4 linked regions of the Drosophila melanogaster genome follow. The protein of the gene in region 4 purifies or fractionates together with the protein of the main gene of each other region. This does not show direct contact. Each region holds a gene or a part of one and is shown on either strand. Other genes may lie near its edges.

The links.
Region 1: the proteins of Acp1 (region 4) and Cpr62Bc purify together in Drosophila melanogaster (affinity purification with mass spectrometry, with the first as the bait; one large-scale study listed by BioGRID). This does not show direct contact.
Region 2: the proteins of Acp1 (region 4) and CG4962 purify together in Drosophila melanogaster (affinity purification with mass spectrometry, with the first as the bait; one large-scale study listed by BioGRID). This does not show direct contact.
Region 3: the proteins of Acp1 (region 4) and mol purify together in Drosophila melanogaster (affinity purification with mass spectrometry, with the first as the bait; one large-scale study listed by BioGRID). This does not show direct contact.

The regions. Positions count from the first base shown.
Region 1 is NT_037436.4:1,839,609-1,843,727, forward strand, and holds Cpr62Bc (cuticular protein 62Bc), read right to left. Parts: upstream 2,477-4,119; 5' UTR 2,397-2,476; coding exon 2,382-2,396; intron 2,285-2,381; coding exon 2,153-2,284; intron 1,580-2,152; coding exon 1,184-1,579; 3' UTR 673-1,183; downstream 1-672.
Region 2 is NT_037436.4:16,294,093-16,297,340, forward strand, and holds CG4962 (uncharacterized protein), read right to left. Parts: upstream 1,456-3,248; 5' UTR 1,392-1,455; coding exon 1,380-1,391; intron 1,317-1,379; coding exon 957-1,316; 3' UTR 619-956; downstream 1-618.
Region 3 is NT_033779.5:14,994,387-14,999,581, forward strand, and holds the start of mol (moladietz), read right to left. Parts: upstream 3,174-5,195; 5' UTR 3,130-3,173; exon of another isoform or gene 2,328-3,129; intron 1-2,327.
Region 4 is NT_033779.5:7,739,912-7,743,152, forward strand, and holds Acp1 (adult cuticle protein 1), read right to left. Parts: upstream 1,627-3,241; 5' UTR 1,571-1,626; coding exon 1,565-1,570; intron 1,447-1,564; coding exon 1,045-1,446; 3' UTR 651-1,044; downstream 1-650. UniProt on the Drosophila melanogaster protein: Component of the cuticle of the adult fruit fly. Could be involved in thickening of the hard adult cuticle.

The sequences.
Region 1 (4,119 bases), on a different chromosome or scaffold from region 4:
CAAAAAGCACACATCATCTATCTATTTTTTTCTAAGCCTTCAAAAATCAATTTGAAATCGTAGTTTAAAGTTGTTTAAGAAATCAATGCCCAAAAGTTTTCTACAAAATAATATTAAAGAAAGCCCATTTAATGAGTTCGAGTAGTGCATCTGGTGAAATATCCTTAAATCGGAAATTAAGAAAACTCTATGAATGCAAATTCCAGATACATAAGGCTATATATAGTTTTATATTTAAGCTTCAAGTTTCATATGAATGCTGATGCGAATCTTATTATGAAAGCGCACGTCTTGCCAGAGTACAGATGGCATAGTTCTTCTGCAGATAAATAATCAGTTAATAAACACCAACTGGTTATTGGCGGATCAAATGATAATCAACCGCCGATGATTACCTTCACCTTTTTCACTCCACGCCCACAAATTAGCCAGATCGATTATTGTCAATCAAGTGGCGTGATCTCGACGAAGTGCTCTCTACCCATCAATTTCCATAACATTCATAACTAATGGAAACCATAATTACCCATACTTGGAATCAATTTGAAAGTGAATGTGTTCTGATCAGAAATGCCAATCAACTAATTAATTGTAAGATAAAACAGAATAATCAAATTAAAGATCAATCTATGTTTTCAGTTCCTTTCTGTGCAGTAAAAAAACGAAATATTTGAATTTTTATAATTCTCTACATTTTGTATTTATAGCATTGTCAGCCGTTTCAGCTTCAAACTTATAGTATACACAAAATTATTATAATACATGTGTTTTTTTTTATTATTTTTTTTTACATTTTGTTCGTTTTTCTTCATCTTTTCAGGTTGGTTCTTCTTCGTGGGCGTGTGGCAGGATGGGCGTTTGTTCCTCACTCGATGTTTTCATTATTTACAATTAAAGAGAAGGTTGATTAACAAACAAAAGAGAGAATTGCGCGAAAGCTGAGACAGAGACGGCAATGTGTGTGTGTGTGTGTGAGGGAGACAGAGGCTGCCGGGAAAGTCCGGGGAATCCACGGCAGGACATGATGGACATGACTGTGGTACTGAGTATTTTAGCAGGCTTCGTCAGTGGATCGATCAGCCGTTTTGTGAGGTCGTCAACGTGCTTAATAAATTACAGAAGAGTGGTGTTAGCGGTGCAGGTGGTGCTTCAGGTGGTGCATCCAGCGGACTGCTCCACTTCCTTAGTAGTGGGCCACATGCGCGTGAGCGTTGTGGGTGGCGTATCCGTAGGCGGGCACCTGATGCGCCAGGGATCCGGCGTAGGGCACGGCGGGAGCGGCGGCCACATGGTGGGCAATGGCTGGGGCATAGGCCGGAGCGGCATGGACCACGGCGGGAGCGGCGTGGGCAACCACAGCGGGAGCGGCGTGGTGCACAGTGGGGCCGGTCTTGTGGACGACGGCGTTGAAGCCATTGTGGTCATCGGCGGTGTACTCCACGGTGCGCACCGAACCATCGGGCTCCACCAGAGAGTAGGATCCCTTGACGACATCACCATCACGCACTTCGTGCTGCGACTTCACGTCTCCGGTGTGAGAGTCAGCCACTCCGTAGTTGTAGTGGTACTTGGGGTAGGCCTGCGGATTGGCGTAAAGATTCCATGAGAAGAGTACGGGCCTGCTAGGATTGGGTGCTAATTTTATGTGCATGCCACACGCCACTCGAAGCAGCTGGCCATGCTAATGAAGCTAGCGTGGGAAAATGGCTAAATGGCAAATGCCACAGTGACCCTGGGCCACCAGCATCCACAGAGGAGTGGGTGAGAGGTTGTGCGGACTGATGGTGTCAGTTTTAGGGCATATTAAGTATAATTTTATGATTGCATGAACAGCCGGTAGGCTGTATAACTTTTTCGGGCTTACAGGTCGTATGAGTAATGTTTGCGGGAGGGATTACGTGTCGTATAAGTAATTTTTATGAGTCAAGATGCATGCATTTCTTAGCTCTGGATGGTATTGTAGTCGTTTGATTTTAAAAGAGCAATAAACTCATGATGCACATTTTCAATTAAGAGGAAGCTTTTCAAAATGTATGTTTTAAACAAGTCAAATGGATTCCAATAGTAGGACATTGATTTTCTTTAAGAGTTAGTAATCCTCATATGCGCTACTTTGAAAGTTAATCCTTTTTGGGTTATCTTGCCCACTTACATGGTAATCGATTCCCTCGTCGTGGTGACCATGGCCGGCATAGATGGCCGGGGCGGCGGCGTAGAGACCAGCACCATGTCCGTGGAGGACTCCGGCGGAGGCGGCGCTCAGGACGGCCAGGCAGATGAGGGACTAGATCACAGGGGATAGGGGTTTGTTTTATTAGTTTGCTATTTCGATTGGATCACAGGGCACTTTTGGCTGTCACAGGGCTGTCCTGTTCACTCACTTTGAAGAATGCCATTGTTTGGATTTTTGGGATTTTGTTTCTTGCAGACGCGAGTGTGTGCTGTACGTTGAGCTGGATTCAACTGATAACTAGAACCAAGAAGGAAGCCGCTTTTATATACAAGACAACGCCCGAGCGGCCCAAACCGAGCCGAGTCACAAAAAGCCGAATGCCAGTCGGTCAGCAGGGGCAAAAACAAAACTACAATGAAATACCAGCCAAAGCCGAGCTTTGCGGAGCGAAGCCCAAGAAGTTGAGGCCCCCACAACGCCCCTGCAACGCCCCCCCTTCCCCACCAACAATTCACAATTATTTAATGCTTTTCAGCGAAAAAAAACGAGAGTGAAGTTCAGTTCAGATGTGGAGCGACTGTTGGCTGGCTGTGGTTTGTCTTTGGAAATTGTCTGATTTCTGAGATAACCGGCGATGTATGCAAATCGAAGTCGAAATAATTGTGAAATGGAAGGGAAAACCTCACTTAATGCGAGTTCTATCTGCTGAAATCAATACTCGTATTAACATATCAAATTGGCCATTATTAAGGCGTATTAATTATGAAATCATGATCGGAAAAAAGTTGGCTATCTATATATTACCATCTCCCATCACGATTTAATTGAAATGGCCTTTGCAAGCTCTAAACTACCTAGCAAAAACAATCTTCGCGCACGAATAAAATTAGCCGTAAACACAAATATTTATGAAATAAAAAGACAATGGCTGAAATAAGTTAAAATTGCATTTCGGTGGGCGGCGGTGTTGCAGCCCCCTCCTGAAAATCCCCATGGTTTTTTTCTGTTGCATGTTGCAATTTGTTCGCTCGTCTGTTTCGTGGGCTTCAAGTCGAAGTTTTCTATGTTCTACGTTTTCTGTGCCTTATTTTGCTTGCAGCGGGCGTCGTCTGTCAAATCTTTTGGTTAATGTGATAGTACACTGCCAAAAATGGTTTGAGGTATTGTAGATTAATTTCGAAGTCTTAGTAAAACATCAGTGGTATCATTCCACTAAAACGAGCTACTGACTCATGAAATCCCATAAATCTTGAGATATTTTTGCAATACTTTTAACTAAAGTCAGCAAGTGGCTTTGTTCTTCAATTGTTTTCCAGTGCACTGACTGTTGTTCCTACTGACACTTTTTTAATTGCCATGTAGGCCGTTTTGCTTATTAAACCCATCTGGGAAAGACAAGAGGGGTGTGCTATGGGGAGGCCACCACCCGAAGACGCTGTAGAAACGCCTTTGAAGTGGGGCGCAGCGTGGCGCCACATCATTATGGCCAAAATAGACGCCAGTTCAGCCCCAACTCATTACCAGGCCAAAACTACGAACAGTAAAAAAGCAAAAGCGTTTGGTTTTGTCATATTTTTGAGGGCTGCCTTGCTTTGTTTTACGGCATATTTGCGCCAGGCTTATGCTACGTACTTGCCCTGCTTCGACTCATTTAATAAATTGTCTCGAATTAGTAGCTCGGCTCTGACATTCCCCCTTTGGTGCCCCCCCCCCCCCCCCCCCCTCTGAGCCACCATTTATGCCAGGCTGGCCATCGCGTACTACAAATTGAAGTAATCATCTCAAGGTTAGCACGACACAGCAGCAAACGACGTGTAACGGATCACTAACAGTTTTAATCTCAGCAGGGGCGTAGTTAAAAAAGAGGGTTTACTTATCCGAAAGTTAGTCCAGATTACTTTACACATGTTGATTTTCGTAGAATGGGCAGTTGGGAATGGTTAGTT
Region 2 (3,248 bases), on a different chromosome or scaffold from region 4:
GGAGGGGGGGGGGGTATAGTGAGCAGGTGGGCCGGGCAAGGCGTTGCAATAAAACAATTTTTTTTGGTATTTGGTTTTTTCCTTGCAAGTTTCAAAACACCCGACGGGAGTCGATATGAATCGAGCAAGTTGCTCAAGTAAAATTAATTTGAAGTGCAATTGAATGCTGAATGGCGATCGGATGGTTGGGGTAAGTTCGCAGTTGAAAATCATTGAACAAGCAGTTTTTTGTGAAATGCTCGCATCTACGAACTAGCAATACTATCTGGAATCCTTATAAATGCGAATAAAACTGATCACTTCACGCTCAACTAAACTAAATTGAAAATAATTCCACACTTCATAAATAGACATTTGTCCCCTTAACAATTAGTTTTGAGTTAAGTGGCTTACATTGCGAAATGTGTGTGTGTTAAAACGGCAAATTAAAATATTTCCACATTACTCTGAAAATTCATATTGCTTCCAAAACGTTAGGTATCGTAAAGATTTCATTGAATTGTGTGTAGTAAGGCATATTTGGATATGGATCTTAAATATCCATCCGTCATAATTTCAAGTGAATATTTTTAAACTAACATATATAAGCAACCAGTAAATGAAATAAGCCATCATATTCGTTTAAAGAGTCATTTATCGTTTATTTACAAAATGTTATGAAGCCACAATGCATGGAGTTGCACCATAATAACAAAATCAACGAAACTTGATCCTTCATCAATCTCTCTCGCTCTCGCCGCCTCCCGTTAGTTGTCCTTAGTTCTCTAGTTGTCTCTGTCTCCAAGTGGGTGTCTGGGTTTTTGAGGGATTTTGTACACAATTTGTATTTCCGCTTCTGACTACGAAATGCAAATTCAACACTTTGACGGCAGCAAAATGCGAATTATCCGCTTAATGTTCTCACTTCAATCGGGGTCGTCAACGGGGGGCTGGTATCCTTTCCGACATCCAGATCCTTAGTGCAGGTAGGCTCCGTGTCCGTAGCCGGCGTATCCCAGACCGTAGCTACCGTAGCCGCCATAGGATCCATGGTAGGTGGAGGTGGAGTGCAGAGCAGGCACGGCATGGACCAGAGGAGCGGCATGGACCACTGGAATGGCCTTGGTGGCCACCTTGTAGGTGTTGGCATAGGAGGTGGCCACCGGGTGGGCGACAATGGGAGCGGCGTAGCTCTTGATGATCGGGGCGTGCGAGATCACAGCCGGAGCGGCATAAGCCGGAGCCAAGGCGGCGCCGTATCCCAGTCCATATCCATGGCTGTAGGGCGAGATTACTCCGGCATTGGCCACGGCGCACAGGGCAGAGATGAGGGCAATCTGCGGAAAAGAAACTTCTATGTTAACTTCATACGAGCGGTAATCCTTTAATCCTGATCTTACCAGTTTGAACATTTTGCTGGTTTTGTGTTGTTTGGACTTCTTGACCGAAGAGCTGAATGTGTTATGCTTAGACGTCTCAAGTAGCCCTGTTATTTATACCCGCAACATGAGAAATATTCTGACAAATCTTGGCCCAAAGAGCGGCGGAGAGGGAGAGCCAACACGCCCCTTTCGACGGCCGAGAGCCGAAGCTTTGTGCATTTGCCGACCAGCAGATCGCGAAAGAGATCAGTCACGCGGCGGCTTTGGCTTGAGCCACTGAGCCACCGCCAATTTTAGCCACCGAATCCCCAAGATTTTCATGGAGAACCACCACGAGCACTTAATTCAATTTGTATTTTTTTCGTCAGCTATTGTCGGCGACTTTTGCTCTAACGGAAACTTTTATATTTCCATTCATTTCGTCGTGGAAATGAACAATTGTCTTCTGGGGGTTTCCAGCTGAGAAAATTCTACGGCTAAATCTGGTTTTGCCTATTAGTAATTTTGCAATTATTCCAGTGATCTAAATTGGCCATTAAGTAACATTTCCTTTGAAAGAGCACTTAAATTTATCTATGAATATTGTGTTTTATTCAAAACCGTTGAATTCACGTGTTCAAATTATTTAAATATAAGCCTGCAAGCCTATTAAGCATATCTGCCTAAATCCTTTCTAAAACCGAAAACACGCACTTTATTATCAATCAGCTGACTGACTGACTGACAGCTCATTAGAGATATAGAGATCCGTAGGTGTGGAAAATGTTGTTGTCCAGATGCAAATGATCAATCGGAGCTGCCTCTCCACGCAGCAAATAAACTCAAGTGGTCCATGAAAAATTACTCACTTTAATAACTGACAAACACAGAGTGGAGATTGGTGCAGTTGGTCATTTTGGTGGCTGCTGGACGGCAGCTGGTTTGCCTATATTTTGCATGCATTAATATTTAACTGATTTGTTATCGCGCACATGGCGTATGCGTAACTTGGGTGGAAGGAGCGTAGTCAATTGGAAACATAGGTAAATCATATTTGCCGCATTTCGAATGGCCTGCCAGATTTCCTAATAGCCATGCTTAATTCTGAAACAGCTTTGAAATCATATCACGGGATCAGTCAGAACACGAGGCTCGAAAAGAATTGCAAAATGCTTGTTTTGAGCCTTGAATATCGGTGTATTGAATCAAAGAGTTGTATAAAAATCGAAATTCTCTCAGGGCGAACAAAGACCGACTTAAAGTTTATGAGTCATAAATTAATAAACAATTACGATGGCGACAATTCTTTCGACTCAGCGACCCTGGCCATCGTTGCTGATTGGACCCCAAATGGACAATCTGCATATCAACGGGGCTTAGTGCTAGTCGAATCTAAAACTAAGCCGAACCCTTCACCAAAGCCAACACCTCGTGATTTCGACCCGTGGCGTTATGCAAATGCTAACCAAATTGTCGCATAAATCTCAATCGAAGGCGGCTTGATTGACACCAAACAGGATGCCAAATTGCGTGGCTATCTATCGATCCGCAGCTACAAAACCAAATATGCCACCCACTCGGTTGTTTTGGATTTTTGGTTTTATTCGTGCTGGTTCCGATTGCAGCTGACCACCAAACTCTGGTGGCCTGTAATTGCATTTTAATGGCCTACCAATTGCATTCTGTTTGTCTGCTAGCCATTGAGCAACGTCCATCCAATGCATACATTCGATTTTGATTCAGATTCGCATTTCCCAAGCGACGCCCAAAATACTTTGATTGCCAACAAATCATTCAAAAGTCGAAATTAAAAGCCGTCAATTTTCCAACTCAACTCGTGGCTCAACTCAATATTTTTTCCTTTCGTGATTTATGCGATTTTTCTGGGGAAATAGTCGGACCTGAAAT
Region 3 (5,195 bases), 7.3 Mb from region 4:
CACTGCCGTAATAAATAAATGTTTAGAATTTATTAAAGAAATTATCCTTTGTTTAACTTCTATTAATTAATTCCGTATATTTAAGAAAAATGTTTTCCTTGCAGTTGCAATTTGCTGTTGCTGACTGCACCCCCATTGAGTCAATGGTTCTTTTTCCATTTTTTTTCATTGCTGCTGCTGCTGCTGGCAGTCAACCGGTTTAACTAGTCAAGTCCGCCGCCGCCGCCAGACTTTGCACATAAATTGCATTTTATTTTAAAAACCCGGTAATAAATTGTTTCATTTATAATTAGAATTTTTGCCAAGCTGACAGTCCGTGAAATCATGTTTGAAGGTGCGAATACCAAACATACTCGTATGAAACTCCACTTGCGGGAGTTCTCAACTATTTTGTTATGGATTCGATATCGTTGTGGTTGTTGGTGCTGCCCCTCTGGTTGACCTTCGCATATTTTTCGGACAGGAATTTGTAAGTCGCTACGATTCGCGTCAGTTTATTGGCTCAATTGCCTGCAAAAACAATGAACGTCGACGTCGGCGATGGACTTGGCACCAAAACGTAAGGTGCGACGCATCGCATGTGGAAATCTTCGAGCACATTACGTTATTACGTTATAAGCGCAAAACAAAAGCGACAACCAGCAACAATCGGACAATGGGAAAAACAGACATTACAGTTACAAAACGAAACGGAAAATATGCGACGAGTAGCACACAAAAGACGCCGGCGCACAGTGGTACAGTTATTAAAAGGATGGTAACATAATAATCCTTATATTGACGTATGAACATTGCAAAATTCATATAATTGTTCTTAAAACATCAACAAACTAACTTTTCAAGCAAATATGAAAACTGAGAGTATAACAATTCATAAACAAAAATAATAATAATAATCTTCAAATATCTCAGAGCTTAGCCATTCTAATTGGTATCACTTCTTTTAAGATTTCATCATAATATCTGAAAAAATTGGGTAAAACTTTTATTGTAACTAGTCAGTTAGTTAGTTATTGTGACTAGTCACCTGGTTTTTAAAATATATTATATATGAAACAATACGGATTAGTGAAACGAATTATTTGCTGAGCCCAAAGTCACGATCCACAATTTTATGCTCAAGAACATTAAATAGCAATAACCCACGGTGCAGCAACGCCCCACAAAGCAAGTGAGGCATCAGCAGCACCAGCATCCAAGTACCGTATGCAGCACACTTGCTGTGCGCACTCTCACTCTCACTTGCTCTCTTTCCCAAGCTCCAACCTCCTTCCATCTTGCTCCAATAATCTCTCTCTCTCTCTCTCTCTCGCACTCGCTCACACTGCCACAGAGACTGCAGCTTTTATTTTCAAGTCCAACGAAAGTGAAATTGCTGGCGCACCCCTTTCCGCCCACTATACCCCTCTCTCTAACACCTTTGCCGGTGGATTGAGGAAATGAAGTAAACATGAAATTGACATAATCAACACGCAGCTGGAAACTCTGCAAATGTCTTTTGACGAGACAGAGACAGCAAGAGAGGCACCAAGAGCTACAACAACAGGTTTCTGTGTCGCCCTGTTGATATTGCTTTTGTTGCTGTTGCTGTAATGCAGTGAGAGAAAATAATTACTCGGAATTGTATGATTTATGTCATATATGAATATTATGAATATCTTGATATTACTTTTTGTAGTACTGTTATTTATCAATATAATCCTTACTAATATATTAATAAAAATATTAGTAACTGTTTAAAACAATTTTTTCCCGTGCTAGCTTTGTTGTTGCTGCTGGCGGCGTGTGTTCAATGAGCGCTGGTGCGTGTAAATATGTAAGAGTTGCCTTCAACCGGCTTTTTCGTGCAACTTTTTTTTTTAGTTTTTTTGTAGCAGTAGTTTTTGTTTTCATTTTTGCGCTGGTCAGTTTGGTTTGAATCATCTGGCCATATAGGAAATGAAACGGGAGATGAAGTAATCCCAACGCCTGACATGGAAATTACATAGGCAAAACGCATCACAAAAATCAACCTGATGCACACACGTCATACAAATTCAACGACAACTAAAAGGGCAGGCAGGAAAATACAGTAAAAGGAAGGGGTATTAAAAAAAATACGCTCTTTATGTACGCTTTCGCGGAAAATACAAAAAAAAGGTTTAAAATTGCTGGAAGTTGTTATAATCAATTTTCTTTTTCATGTTTTAATAAATATCGAAATATCAAAGGTTTAGTTACTCCTGTTACTCCTGTAAGGGTAATAAAACATTGTGTTGGGTAATACTAAAGGGAAAATGTGCATTAGAAATTACCAACACAATTTTCCCGCTCCCACCCACACATACACCCATCACACATACGTTTGAGGAATGGCGGACTCCCTCTTTAGATGTTTGGGAATTTTTTTGTTTGATCTATCATATTTTATTTTTAGTTCTCGGTGTCTTTTAAGTCTCGGCAATCAGTTTGTTACCCAAAAAAATAAATAATTTATTATCCATTGTTCAGCATTCTATTTTTGCTTGAGTATACCAAACTATTTATTTACATATCTTATTGAATTTTTGATAATATGGATTTTGGTATTTTTTTATTTATATTTCTACAGAGAAACTTTTATTTGTATTGCTTCAGAGAAACTTATTTATTTTTGTTATTGTATTGCACTGAATATTTCGCACTTTAGTTGCAAAAAAATAAATTGCAACATTTAATTGCAACCAAGTTGATTAACTTTTTTATGTTTAAGGCAAAAATTTGCTGGCTTTAATTATATTTTATGTGCGCGCAAATTGTTAAGGTTTTTCGACACTGTTGTTTGTTTTAAGCTTTTTTGTTTTATTTTTGCAGACAACCACGAGGAGCAAAGCATAAATAACTAGATGAGCTTCAAACTTAATACCGTTATTTGCGTTATTATAACGCGGCTTTTGCGGTTTCTTTTTGTTTTGGCAAACTTATTTCGGCTTGAATTTTCGATTTTTGATTTTTCTCCACTTTTACGAACACGGTGGTTTTGTGCATGGCATAACACACAGACAAAACAAAAGCAAACAAATAAAAACACAATTCGATTTCGTCTTCGCTGCCTCTCGTTGTTTTTTTGTTGCAACTGATTTAAAATGCGCAGGCGCGGCGGCGACTTACAAAAATCTGCGTCCGTTTCGAGAGCTTGCCGTCGATCAACTGAACGCCGAGAGCGGTGAGCAAAAGACAAAACCTTCCCAAAAGAGAGCAACAGAGCGCCAAAGCTCCAAAGCGATGGGAGCTTTTTGCTCGACCGCTAATTGCAGGCTTAAGTGAGTGTGAATTTATGAAGCAGTCATGTCGGAAAGTCAGAAAATCAAAAAAAAAATTATTAAAATAAAAAATATCAAAAAATCCGACAGGGAACTTGGGCTATATCGCCAGGGCTATTCCTGATCAGGGACCTTGTCCGACTCTAGGCTGCCACACTTTCCAACCGCAAACTGGTTCATCTTGGGCCTGGCCTCACACTAAATTCACAGCCGAGCGGCAAATTATATACTTTAATCAGCCGGGCGAGAATAGCATTGGCACCTGTCACGAGGAGAAATAATATTAGTATAAACAGCTGTGCTCCGAAAATATTAGAACTTGCATTGTTACAAAAAAGGAAACAAAATAAAACTCTCAAACGTAATTTTATCATCTGACATTTTAATTTGGTTGATATAAATTAAGGCCCACTTAAAATATTAATGTATAATGCATTACTGGACATAAAAACAAAAGATTTATTTATAAGGTAGTATGTTAAAATGAGACATTTATTATTAAACCAAAATAAAACTTAATGAAACGTAATTGCATTGTATAATCAAAAATGCAATCGTTATAATATCAAAATTTCAAATTTTAAATTGCAATTTCCACTTTTCATACAACATTCTTTAATTTAAACAATTATGTCAGAAAAAATAGGTGCCAAATATTGGATAATATTAAAACGAATCCTCAAAAACTCCATCTTCGCAGCATTCCAACTTAAAAACCCCCAATACTTTTTCCTTTATTTAGTTATTTGCCAGCTGCTACTATTGCTAATTCAATTAGCATAGAGACCCGTCTGGTAATTAATATTTAATTTGCTAATTGAATTTTTACTAGCGACTACCGTGCCACGCACCAACGCCAAGCCAAATCACCAAGTTAGCCTCCGTGATCTCTGTTTATGTCCAGTCAATCCATCCGACTTGTGAATCTCGACAGTTGCAAATTTGGCTGGTCGACGCCAAAGCCACTTTTCAGCCGCAGTATGCTAGATCTTGTTGTCTTTGCCTTAGTAGTGAATCTTTTATGATGTGCAAAATTAGCCATAAAAACATACATAAACAAAAATGTAAATATTGCTGTAAAATCAGTAATTCATTATACGTAAGGCTCTCTAGAGTTTAGCCGATGTACTTAGTCTTTGGATTTAAAAAAGTATTATTCTGTGTTTGGAAAAAAATGTGGTGCTTAAAGCTGGCTGAAAAACTTCTAAAGTCGTATAACTATTTTTACAGCATGCAATTTATAAAGGAAGTATCTAAACTACTGAAATATTTACTTTATGTTAAAAATGCTTCGAAAAAGGTTTTTAAAACTGGTGTTTAGTTTTTTTTTTTTGCTTATTGGCAAACGGACTTCATCATAATCGATTCCCTAGCTACGAATAAACTTCCGCTACGCAGTCCAATGATTCATTCCCATTAAAATAAATATCTTGGGGCAAACCAATTCTTTTGACTGCTCTCACAGTGAATTCGTACACATGTTTAGTCACCACGAGTTCGTCGCCAAAGTCTTTTGTTCTAGCGTCATTTATATGCAAACCTATCACCTTGATGGGCGATAAAAACCAGAAAAGTCTGAAAAACATAAACAACAGCATCCCGGACCAGTGCAGCAAAGCGGTGACCACAAAGTTGAAATTAACGAAAATTCGCGCGGCAAGGTCAGTTCAAAGCGGTCAACGACTGCAGGCCGCACGGGAATGGCCAACATGAAATGCCCTTTTTCGAACAACAAAAATTTATCGATTGCAAGCAGTAAATAAAAATTATTCAGCAATAAAAGCGAAAAAAAAAAATTAAAATTAATCACTCGACAAGAGGAGATAACTTCTGAGCTACGCATAATGCGGCTACCGTTTAAGACTTAAATGAAAATATAAAAAACAGACACAAAATCCGGATGTGTCGCGATGC
Region 4 (3,241 bases):
TGTTGGAACTCAAAGTGGGAAAAATAAAAAAAAGGGGCTGGCTAAGTGGGAGGGGAAAATCACGCAACAGTTGGACTCTGCTATAGCAAATCGAAAGATATAGGGGGTAAGGAAGTGCGGGGTTGATTCCATTTGATTTGTGGCTGGATTTCGCATTGAACGCAGTTGGGGACTTTGCGCATGCGCATGAACTTGACATTTCAGCATTCGATCCGATGGCTTTGCTCTAATCACACTTTATTATGGAGGAAGGGGTTGCATGCAAACAGCGTAGTGTCAATTTGAGGCAATGAGTCAATTAATTGTATTCGGAGGCGTAAATATGCGATGATAATATATTGAGAGCGAACGGGCTTTGTATACTAATAGATTGAGCCTGTGGGAATTTGTCAGGCAACATCTATTTATTTTAATTTTGGCTTGACCAAAACAAACTTTGTATACTTACATTATCATTAAATAAAGCTTTATCAAACGAAGAATATATATTATGTAATGTTCTGTAAAGCGGAAAAATTATAATGAGGAACCATCAAAGATTTGTTAGCAATAATGTTAATTTGTCGCAATTTTATTTATATGTGGGTATTTAATATTCCCAACTTCGCAATATTATTTACACATTTCCCAAAATAAAACGTTTATACTTTAGTTACATTTTCTTTATTGGCATTATGTAGATGTACAAGCATTTCCTTCCAGAATGCACTTGGCATTCCGTTCGAAGAAAACTTGTGATGGTTTTTTCACAGGATGCTTGGAAAATGTATGCTAAATAAATAGGTAAGCGAGAGAAATAGGCAACCACAAACGTGGCCGGGTGCTTAGGTCGGAAGAGAATTTTGATGACTCCTTTTTTTCGGGACAGGTATGAAAGGATCCTGTTCAGGTGCTAGGTGCGAGTACCCTGTCTATATATGGCTATATATACAATGTATTTACATAACGTGTTGAGGGGTCTAAAGTTCGACTTCCCCATCAATGGCAGTATCCGTGGCAGAGGCAATGGTCCGATCGACAAAGGGATTGAAGGCGGTATACTCCTTACAAGGTTCCGGGTGCGGGAGCGGCATTGATGGAGGCCACCGACTGGATGTGTCCGGCCAGAGGAGCGGTGTGAATGGCACCACGGGTCTGGGCAGTGTAGACGCCACTGTGAGCCACTGGGGCCACGACGACTGAGGGAGCATGAGCAGCAACCACAGCGGGAGCAGGGGCAGCAAGCACGGCAGGAGCGGCGGCGTGGATCGCTGCCGGAGGCCACGAAGCCACGTTCACGGCAGCAGGCCAGTGGGCGGCGGGAACGGCCCAGGGAGAGGCCACCACAGCGGGTCCGGAAACGGCGGTGTAGGACAGTCCATGTCCAGCCACCTGGGACAGCAGGGGGATCACAGACGACTGCACGCCCATGGCGAGGGCCAAGGTGAAGATAACGGCGACGGCGAACTGTATAATGCAAAATATATTGTTTAGTCTTATGAGTAAAACTTCCTTGTTGAATTACTAATATTAATCCAAGCTATGTTGTTGTTAATTATCAGGATAAATCCGTTTGATAACTCACTTTCATGGTGCTGTTTGTGGGTTTTGGGTTGCGCTCTGGTTGAACTCTTGTTCTGAACTGATCTGTCAACGGAGCTGCCGGCCAGTTTTATACCCAACTGCTGACCACATCAGCAATAGAAAACCGCCAAGTCGGAGGGTTCATGAAAGTGAGAGTTCACACACCATGACATGGTGGACACGGCTGACACTGCTCCGCATGCATATGATCAGCTGTAATGACATGCCTCGGATCTGAACGGATCGTATCGTATCGAATCGGATCAAACGGCTAGGTTGAACGCCTTCAAAGCGGTTGAATTCAAGAACTAGTTCTACATCTACAATACTTTGTTATTAGCTTATTGTACTAATCGAAATACGTACATTTATTTTCTAAAGAATAAAAAAATAAATGAAGAAGAGAGGATTGTGACAAGAAGTTAGGTTACCTAATTTGTATCTTTAAGGTGGGGTTTTTAACAATAACCCTCTCAAAAATGAACTAACTCGGTAGTGAACCTCTATTTCCGCACCACTCAAACATGCACCACCACAGAAAATGCATTCTCAGTGAGTGTGTTTCCATCTCCGTGGCCATGTGGGTCCAACTGTCTAAGTGAATGGCCCAACCCACTTTTCAGCTGCAGTTCCGGTAAGTTGATTTTCACTCCATCACACCGCCACTTTAATTACTTAATTGTTGTTTGTGCGCGATTAGCATTTCAGTATGATTTATAACACGATTCCAATTATGGAGCGATCCGTATCCTGTATAAGGCCGGCTAATATCTGATTTATGTGTCTTAAGGGTTAATGATATGCGAGGAACAGCCCACTTTATCGATCGATATTGAAATATAATTATGGGAAAATTAAGAGCTGAAATATATTATTCCATTTGAACAGAACTGATCTATAAATCTGTTTCTAATATTTTAAAGAGTTAATATTAAAATTTTAAGCCGAATAACAAAAAGTAGATTATAATCAATTGGACTAGTGTAACTATTTAGAATTCGAATCCAAGAGACAAAAGTTTGCAATTCGTTTCATGACATCTACAAATTCGTGTGTGCATAAGCCGCTTGTTGGCTATAAATTAACCAAAACTTGCAATTAACACAGCTGAAAGGCATTCCAGGTTAATCCGCTTTTCCAGGCTATTTCCCTAATTATTTCCACCTCCGATTACCTAATGGAATCGACATTGCGCAACATTCAATTGTCTGAAATGGGTCTGGAGCGTGGGTTACTGCAGCCCGGAACAGCCCACATAAATATATCGCAAACCCATTAGGTGCCGCAATTAAGTCAGACTTTAGTGCAAATTGAACCCAGCAAAGACAATTCAATTATGCCCAAAAAAAACTGCATGAGGGGAAAAACTTGTTTCGATGCTAATGTGGGTGAGATCGATTGTCGAGTCTTGGCAAAATCTCTGAGACACCAAAAACACCAAAAAAGTTCAAGTTGAATTCTTTCGGTGCGATGATAATCTGTAATTAGCGACTACTATAATTTACTCCATGTGCCAATTATTTTCCTATACCAGAAGCCCAGGTGCTGACTAAAATTGAAACTTGGTCTTTGTGCGATTTGTAATTAGCGCTAAGCGTTTGCATAATTAAGCATACGCCCTGTGGCCCAATACGTGCATATGATCTGGCTTTGTACCAATTAACTCGATCTAATGACC